Macaca fascicularis: one gene and its partner. The protein of the gene in region 1 purifies or fractionates together with the protein of each later gene. This does not show direct contact. Links are inferred from orthologs where the notes say so. Each region holds a gene or a part of one and is shown in the gene's direction. Other genes may lie near its edges. The genes, in order: KBTBD8 and PKN1.

The links.
Region 2: the proteins of KBTBD8 (region 1) and PKN1 purify together in Homo sapiens (affinity purification with western blotting; 3 studies listed by BioGRID and IntAct, with this or other methods). This does not show direct contact. The link is inferred for Macaca fascicularis from reciprocal best matches to the Homo sapiens genes KBTBD8 and PKN1.

Annotation. Positions count from the first base shown.
Region 1 is NC_088376.1:130,078,579-130,082,389, forward strand, and holds part of KBTBD8 (kelch repeat and BTB domain-containing protein 8), read left to right. Parts: intron 1-3,122; coding exon 3,123-3,586; 3' UTR 3,587-3,811. UniProt on the Homo sapiens protein: Substrate-specific adapter of a BCR (BTB-CUL3-RBX1) E3 ubiquitin ligase complex that acts as a regulator of neural crest specification.
Region 2 is NC_088393.1:14,864,137-14,868,599, forward strand, and holds the start of PKN1 (serine/threonine-protein kinase N1), read left to right. Parts: upstream 1-1,584; 5' UTR 1,585-1,686; coding exon 1,687-1,914; intron 1,915-2,065; exon of another isoform or gene 2,066-2,264; coding exon of another isoform or gene 2,265-2,285; intron 2,286-2,479; exon of another isoform or gene 2,480-4,309; intron 4,310-4,463. UniProt on the Homo sapiens protein: PKC-related serine/threonine-protein kinase involved in various processes such as regulation of the intermediate filaments of the actin cytoskeleton, cell migration, tumor cell invasion and transcription regulation.

The DNA of each region.
Region 1 (3,811 bases):
AAAGAGTTTTATATAAGCCTTATTATTGCAAAAGTTATGAAACTTAATTACAAAGAGTTTGGAAGTATAGTCTTTAAGTTTCACCTTCACTGCTGTTTATGTTGCCTTTCATAATACATTTTCAATTGTTTTCACCGGAAAACTTTGAGATGTCACTTTTTTTTGGTTTGCCATTTTAATAGGACTGTCTGATATATGTAGTGTTTTTTGTTTGTTTGTTTTTTTAACTGTTAAGGACTACTTTGACAAAAATACAGTAGAGGTAGAGTGACTGAGTCAGAGTAAATAAGACATTTGATTCAAGGCTCTGATTTGTGATAACTAGTATTTTCCTTTTATTTGGTTTCTTACATATTTTAGTTGCTTGAATGTTTAATGCAGTGTAGATAATAGCAACATCCTTATTCTTCATATGTGTCCTTCAATTGATGTTTTTCTCACACTACTACTTAAGGAAAAGGAGCAGCTTCTATGAAGATATACAGTCATGTGCCATGTAATGTTTTGGTCTGTGATGGATCACATACACAATGGTGGTCCTATAAGATTATGATAGCATAATTTTACTGTACTTGTTCCATGTTTAGATACGTTTAGATACAAAAAACGCTTCCCATTGTGTTATAGTTGCCTAGAGTACTCAGTACAGTCACATGCTGTACAGTTTTGTAGCCTAGGAGCAATAGGCTACAGTGTAGCCTAGGTGTGTGGTAAGCTCCCATCTAGGTTTGTGTAAGTATGCTCTATGAAGTTCTTTGCACAAGGACAAGTATCACTTAACCATGCATTTCTCAGAATATGTCCCTGTCATTAATTGATGCATGACTGCCCTTATCCCATTGTTTTCTTTCTTTCTTCTTTCCCCTTCCCCTTCCCTTCTTTTCTTTCATTTATTTCTTTCTGTTTTGTTTTGAGACAGGGTCTCACTCTGACACCCAGGCTGGTGTGCAGTGGCATGATCTTGGCTGACTGCAACTTCCGCCTCCTGGGTTCACATGATTCTCCCACCTCAGTCTCAGGCACCCGCCACCATGCCTGGCTAATTTTTGAGTTTTTGGTAGAGACGGGGTTTCACTATGTTGACCAGGCTGGTCTTGAACTCCTGACCTCCAGTGATCCACCCACCTTGGCCTCCCACCATTGTTTTCTTTTAAAAATTGTGTTCCTTGCTCTAATCCTTTATTTAACTAAAAACTTCCTAGTAATGTCCGAGCCCATTTGTTTAAGTTCAGTGTCAAGTTAATTCCTCAGAAGGAGTTGTAGTCTCTGGTTCATTATTTTAGTTAAATAGAAGCACCGGGCATGATTTGGGTTTGCTGTCTTGCAGAAAAATGGAATATAGGAATGGATGTATAATCTGTCCAGTATAGTTGGATAGGTTATGTCATCCAGTATGATGAAGCTGTGTATGTGTGTATTTTGGTCTTACTGCCTAACTGTTAGTTGATAGAGGTAGAATTAGATTCCTATTTGGAATGTAAAGGTTGTATATTAATGCAAATACTAAAGCAAACTAGCAATGAATTAATAGAATTTCAGGGCTGGAATTATTAACATCATTTAATTTGAGGTTATATTTTACATAAGAGGATTCTGAAGCCCTAAGGGTTTCTTAATTGCATATTATTAGCTTTAACTTATTAAAGAGTACTTTAGATTTTAAAATTCAACTTCTTTGGTTTGTCGTCTTTACTTTCTTATCTATAAGAAATTTATAGAGAAGTAGCACACATTACAAAGTTTAAATTTCCTACCTTCTTTATCAAGAATCCTGTTACAAGTTAGGCAATAAGGGCAGATGATGTGCAAGCAAATCTGGGAGCTTAACAAGCTATTTTAAGTCAGTTGAAGGCAAAGCATCACTGTTATGAAGTAGGTAGTCGAATCTGTAGATAAGAGTAACCCTAGTTCAAAACAGTTTTCAAGGGGAAGCTCAATTTAGAATCTGGTATTTCTAATCTAAACAAAGCCTCTTTACATAAATAAACCTGACATGCATAGTCAGAAGCTTATGTTGTACTATCTGTGGCTATTGAAGTATCATTTAATCTGTTCATAAAGGGTTCAGATTTTTATTACAAAGATTTTATACAGATGCTATAATTAGCAAAACTCTTGTAAATCTTCACTACTTTAATTCTTTCAGACATTTTCATATTGGCAGTCTGACTCAGCATACCTTTTTATTGTCAAATCAAAATAGAAACTGACTCAGAGTCAACATCACAAACCATGTATGTGTTTTCTATCTTATTAAAGGCATGTTTTCTCCTGCTGAATATTTGTCTTTGCATTATAGCAACATTCAGGTAAGCACATCAGTGACCCATAAGCATAAATCTGTATAATTCCATCTGCTGTCTTCTAATGAAATAGCATATACATTTATCATGGCATATTTATGGTGATGTTGTATGTATGCATTTTGGTCTTACCGGCTGAACACTACTAATAATGCTTTTTTAGAGTTAGAGTGAAATGAGTTTTCTATAAACACACAAATTGGATAGAGCAAATAGAATAATTTTTTTTTTTTTTTTTTTGAGCTGGAGTCTCACATTGTTACCCAGCCTGGAGTGCAGTGGCGTGATCTTGGCTCACTGCATCCTTCACCTCCCAGGTTCAAGCGATTCTCCTGCCTTAGCCTCTTGAGTAGCTGGAATTACAGGTGCCTGCCACCGCACCTGGCTAATTTTTGTATTTTTAATGAAGGTGGGGTTTCATCATGTTGGCCAGGCTGGTCTCTGAACTCCTCACCTCAAGTGATTCACCTGTCTGAGCCTCCCAAAGTGCTGGGATTACAGGCATGAGCCATGGTGCCCAGCCAGAATCAAGCTCTTAACAATTCTATGATCAAACCCAAGTAACTCCTTATACCTTCCCAATACAAACCTCCCAATTCAGGTTGATTATAATATTATCGGTTATATTGTGTCATGGAATGACAAAGTTTTAAGGTATTTCGTAACCCATATGAATGTATCTCCAGAGATTATAAAGAAAATGTTTTAGAAAGTGAAATATATAGAAAATTATGCCCTTTAATCTTTAGAGGTTGTAGTTACAACATATAACCAAAAACCAAACATAAAAATATACATATTCTTGTTTTCTTTTTTTAGGAGAATTTTTCCTCTTCTATGAGCCTCAAAAAGACTACTGGGGTTTCCTGACCCCCATGACTGTGCCTAGAATCCAGGGCTTAGCAGCTGTATACAAGGACTCTATCTACTACATAGCTGGAACCTGTGGAAATCATCAACGTATGTTTACTGTAGAAGCCTATGATATTGAGCTAAATAAATGGACTCGTAAGAAAGACTTTCCATGTGATCAGTCCATAAATCCATACCTTAAACTGGTACTTTTCCAGAACAAACTCCATTTATTTGTTCGAGCTACTCAAGTGACTGTCGAAGAACACGTCTTCAGAACCAGCAGAAAAAATTCCCTTTACCAGTATGATGACATTGCTGACCAGTGGATGAAAGTGTATGAGACCCCAGATCGGCTCTGGGACCTTGGCCGGCATTTTGAATGTGCTGTTGCTAAACTGTATCCTCAGTGTCTTCAGAAAGTACTCTAAATGAGTAGCAGGCCTTAGTGCATCACTGGCATCTCATTCTTAGGAAACTTGTCTTTGATACAAAAGAGTGCTGACAGTATTTCAGAAAGCTGAGAGTTTTATATGTGGAAAATGGGTATGCTTAAAGATCGCAGGGTAGCGAGGGATTTTCCTTCATCCTTGTGACATTTCATTTCAGTAAGGAAAAGACAACGAAGTGCAATTATCAGCATTTTTTTTCCTGGC
Region 2 (4,463 bases), on another chromosome or scaffold:
TGACCTCATGATCCGCCCATCTGGGCCTCCCAAAGTGCTGGGATTACAGGCGTGAGCCACCGCGCCCAGCCCACAGAGTTCTTTTCTTTTCTCTTTTCTTTTCTTCCCTTCCCCTCCCTCCCTCCCTCCCTTCTTTCCTTCCTGCCTTTCTGACAAAGTCTTGCTCTGTCACCCAGGGGGTAATGCAGTGGTGCAATCTTGTCTAACTGCAACCTCCGCCTACTGGGTTCATGCCATTCTCCTGCCTCAGCCTCCCAAGTAGCTGGGATTACAGGCACACGCCACCACACTCAGCTAATTTTATATTTTTTAGTAGAGACGGGTTTCACCATATTGGCCAGGCTGGTCTCGAACTCCTGACCTCCAGTGATCCACCCACCACCACCTTGGCCTCCTAAAGGGCTGGGATTATAGGGGTGAGCCACTGCACCCAGACATTTTTTTTTCTTTCTTTTTTTTAGACAAGGTCTCGCTCTGTCACCCAGGCTGGAGTGCAGGGGCATCATGATTGCTCCCCACAGTGATGCATTCTCGGCCTCTTGAGCTCAAGCGATCCTCCTGCCTCAGCCTCCTGGTAGCTGGGACTACAGGCATGCGCTACCATGCCTGGCTGGATGGATTCTAGATCAGAATATTCTCCTCCTTCTCTCTTTCTGTTGTTAATATCCCCCAAAGAGTTGCTCAGATGAAAAAATAAGAGAGAAAACATCGCGCCCTGGTTTCCGGGACGACTGAAACCACGCAGAGCCACGCGTAGCTAAGGTACCCACAGCCCACGGCGCTTCCTCGGGTCCCAAAGGGCGCCAATGTGCAGACACCGCCGCCAGGGAGCGCTCCCCGCCGGAGCCCCGGAGACCAAGGTTTGGCTCCCTCGCCTGGTTTCCGAAGGAGTGAGGGTCCGACGGCAGCCGTAAACAAAGCTGCACGCTCTGCAGACCCCGGAGATCCCCTAGAAATTCCTCAGAGGCCTCCACTCTCCGCATGGGCACGAGTCTGCATTTATGGAGCGCCATCTGCATGCAGCAGCCCCGAAAAAGAAGGCGGTGCCCATTTTATTGTGTGGAAAACTGAGACTCAGAGGCCACAGGGGTTCCCAGGATGAACAGCGAGTTGGGATTCAAACCTCTTTTAATAACAATAACGATAATAGAGGTCAGGCGCAGTGGCTCAAGCCTGTGTAATCCCAGCACTTTAGGAGACCGAGGCGGGCGGATCACCTGATCAGGAGTTTGAGACCAGCCTGGCCAACATGATGAAACCTCATCTCTACTAAAAATATAAAAATTAGCCGGGCATGATGGCGGGCATCTGTAATCCTAGCTACTCAGGAGGCTGAGGCAGAAGAATCGCTTGAACCCGGGGGGCAGAGGTTGCAGTGAGCCGAGATCGCACCACTGCACTCCAGGATGGGCAATAGAGCGAAACTCCGTCCAAAAACAGCAAAACAACAAACAATTACGATAACATTAAAAGTGACAGCAGCTAACACTTATGGAGCGTCTAGAGTGTTCTCAGCTCTTGGCCTGCACTGTCTCATTGAATTTTACCAACACCTAGGAGGTGAGCGCATCATTCCCATTTCACAGATGAGGTGCCTGGAAGGATTTGGCTTCCCCAAGGCGTAAAGCGCTGGCATTTGAATGCAGATCTGCCCAGAGCTTGTCTCCAGGTAACGGGGAAACTTCCATGCCCTTGAATAGGGGACCACAGATGCAGGCGTCCCGAGCTTGCAAATGCACAGGGATGGGGTGGGGTGGGGGGGTTATTTTTTTTTTTTCAGGGGTTCTGGGAGGCCCAAAGGCCTCCGCCGCTCTCGGCTTGAACGCGGGGAACCGTTCTCCTCGGGTTCCCGCGCGCTCCAATGGGGGACCTCTCGGCAGCGTGCGGTCGTCGCAGGACCCGGAAAGAGGAAAGGTGGGGAGCCGATCGGGGTGCTCCGAGCTCGGGAGACTGAGGGGGCGGGCGGGCGGGACCCCGCAGCCCCGGGGGCCTCTGGGAGCCCCTCCCCCTCGGCCCCGCCCCCTCCCCGGGCGCCGACCTCCGGGGTCACGTGACCGGGCCCGGCGGCCGCTGGGGCTGGAGGGCGCGGCGCGGGGACGCGGCGGCCTGGGCAGGCGAGGCGGGAGCCTAGCAGGCCGGAGCGGGCCGCGGGCCGGGGAGGGTCGCGCCGCGCCCGCCCCCTCCCCGCCACGCCCGGGGCGCACGCGCGCTCCTCTGGCCGCCCCTCCCTCCGCGCGGGGACCCCTGGCGGGCGGCAGGAGGACATGGCCAGCGACGCCTTGCAGGTAGGCGCACCTGCGTCTGGAGTCCCGGGGCGACCGGACGGCTCCAGGGGACCCCGCCCTCGCGCTCCCGGGGGAGCCCCCCAGCCCCCCGAACGGGACTCGGGTGGCGATGGCTAGGGCGGGGACCTCCGGAGCGCCCGGCGCCCCCTCCCTGGGCCGGGACTGTGGAGCCAGCGAGGCCCCCTTCTCGGCAGGTGGCGATGTGGACGGGGCTGGTTTGGGGGCAATCTCGGAGGCACCCCCCGCTGCACCCCCAAACTCGGCCTCTCCCAGAGAACTAGAAGGGGCGCGGCGGAGGCTCTACTTCGGGTGTCTGTGGCTGGCTGGGAGTCCCGGTGCCTCTCGTCCGCCCCCAAACTCATCCCCCTCCCCAGGGTTGGGTGCCCGGCAGGTGCCGCTCCACCTGGGGCAGGTGCCTGGCGCAGTGCCGTGGGAGGGGAGGAGGCCGCCGGGCCCGGCCCGTGCCCTTCCCCCGCATAACAAAGCTCCAGCCACCCCCGCCTCTAGACAGCTTTATAGTGTTCCAGACGCCACCCAGATTGGCACCTGTTGGCGGAAGTACCCGAGTCACTGCATTAGGTCGGGGGACTGGGGACCCCCGCTCCTACTCTTGGACTGTCAGGTGGAACCTTCTCCCGGGTGGGGAGTGCCTCAGTCAACAGGCCAGGGATGCTCCCATATATAGAATCCTACTTTTTTGCATGGTGGCTGGGCAGGGCTGGGTCACCCCCACCCTCCTAACACACACACGTGACTGGCACCAGCCTTCTGCCCAGCCAGATTCCCCCGTGCCACCTGGTTGGTATCACTGACCTGGACTCATCTTCCCCGTCTGTGACAAGCAGGGCCAGCGTGACTGCCAACCTTCTTTGGTTCAAGTGACCCAAATCTGAGAAATGTCTGTGCCTCGGTGCCCCCATTTGCACCTCACCATCCAGTTCATCGTCCTGTGGCTGTTGTGTAACTGGGTTCTCGTCTCCTTCTGCACCTGCCCCCTGCCCCTCTGTGTCTCCCCCGTAACCCCCGGTCCCTCCCACCTCCCCAGTCCTGCTGATGGCCTGCCGGCCTTGCCGAGGAGCTGGGCGTATCTGGTGTTGCCGATCACACAAGGTCAGACCTCAGGGCCGGGATGGGCCGGGGTCCCTGCCTCCACCCCCGGCCCAGGGAGGGCTGTGTAGGAATCCCCGGGCGCATGCATGCGCTTGGCGCGTCCCACACATGACCCAGACAGGCTGTGATTCCTGCAGTGAGGCTGGACCCACGCCCTGGTCCCCCCTTCCCATCTCCTCCTTAGTCTCTTCCCTCCTCCTGGTCATCCCTCTCTCATGGTTGCTTGGGCCTGCCGCCCTGTCCCTCTATCTGTCCCAACGTGTGCCTGTCTGTTCTGTGTCCTGCAAACGGATGTCCTGTCCAGATTCCGGAAACGCCCAAGGCATTGAAATCTCCGGATGTGGGGGTCTAGGTCCCTGGCTGCTCTGGCAAGATGGGGATTCTGGGAGGCAGGTCCTCTGGGTCTGAGGTCTCCGCTCCATGGTGGGCAGCAGAGGAGCAGGGGTTCTCCATAGGCCAGGCCAGGCCCCTGAGTCCTGGGTTTGCCTTGGTGGCCCTCAGGTGACCTGTATGCCCTGGGAAGAAGTGAGTCACTCAGGGGAGGAGAACCCAGGAGCCCAGCCTCCCTCCCTCTCTGCATTACAGACCTCAGCTGCTGGAGGTGGGGCCGAGGGAGGCCACCTTTCCTCTCTGCCTGGACTTCCCCAGTTGAGCTGACCCCGCTCTTGGCTGTGTCCTCCCTCTGCCTGCTGGGGATGGGGTGGGGCCTGACTGAGTGAGGGTGGTATTTGGTGAGCCTGGGCTTAAATTCCGACGCTGACACTTCCTTGCTGTGTGTCCTGGGCCCAGTGCCTTCGCCTCTCTGAGCCTCGGTTCTGACCTAGGAAAAATGGGACTAAGAGGGTGTTCATGGGAGAGAGAGACCGAGACCTGGCCAGCACTTGGCAGGCGGGGCTGCTGTGAAGTCATTACTGGTAAGCGTCCTGGTCAGCAGCTCAGGGTGTGAATCTGTGTCCTTACTGATTGATTTACTTGTTTATATTTATTTATTTTGGGGGAGACAGTCTTGCTCTGTCACCCAGGCTGGAGTGCAGCGGTGCGATCCTATGTCACTGCAGCCTTGATTTC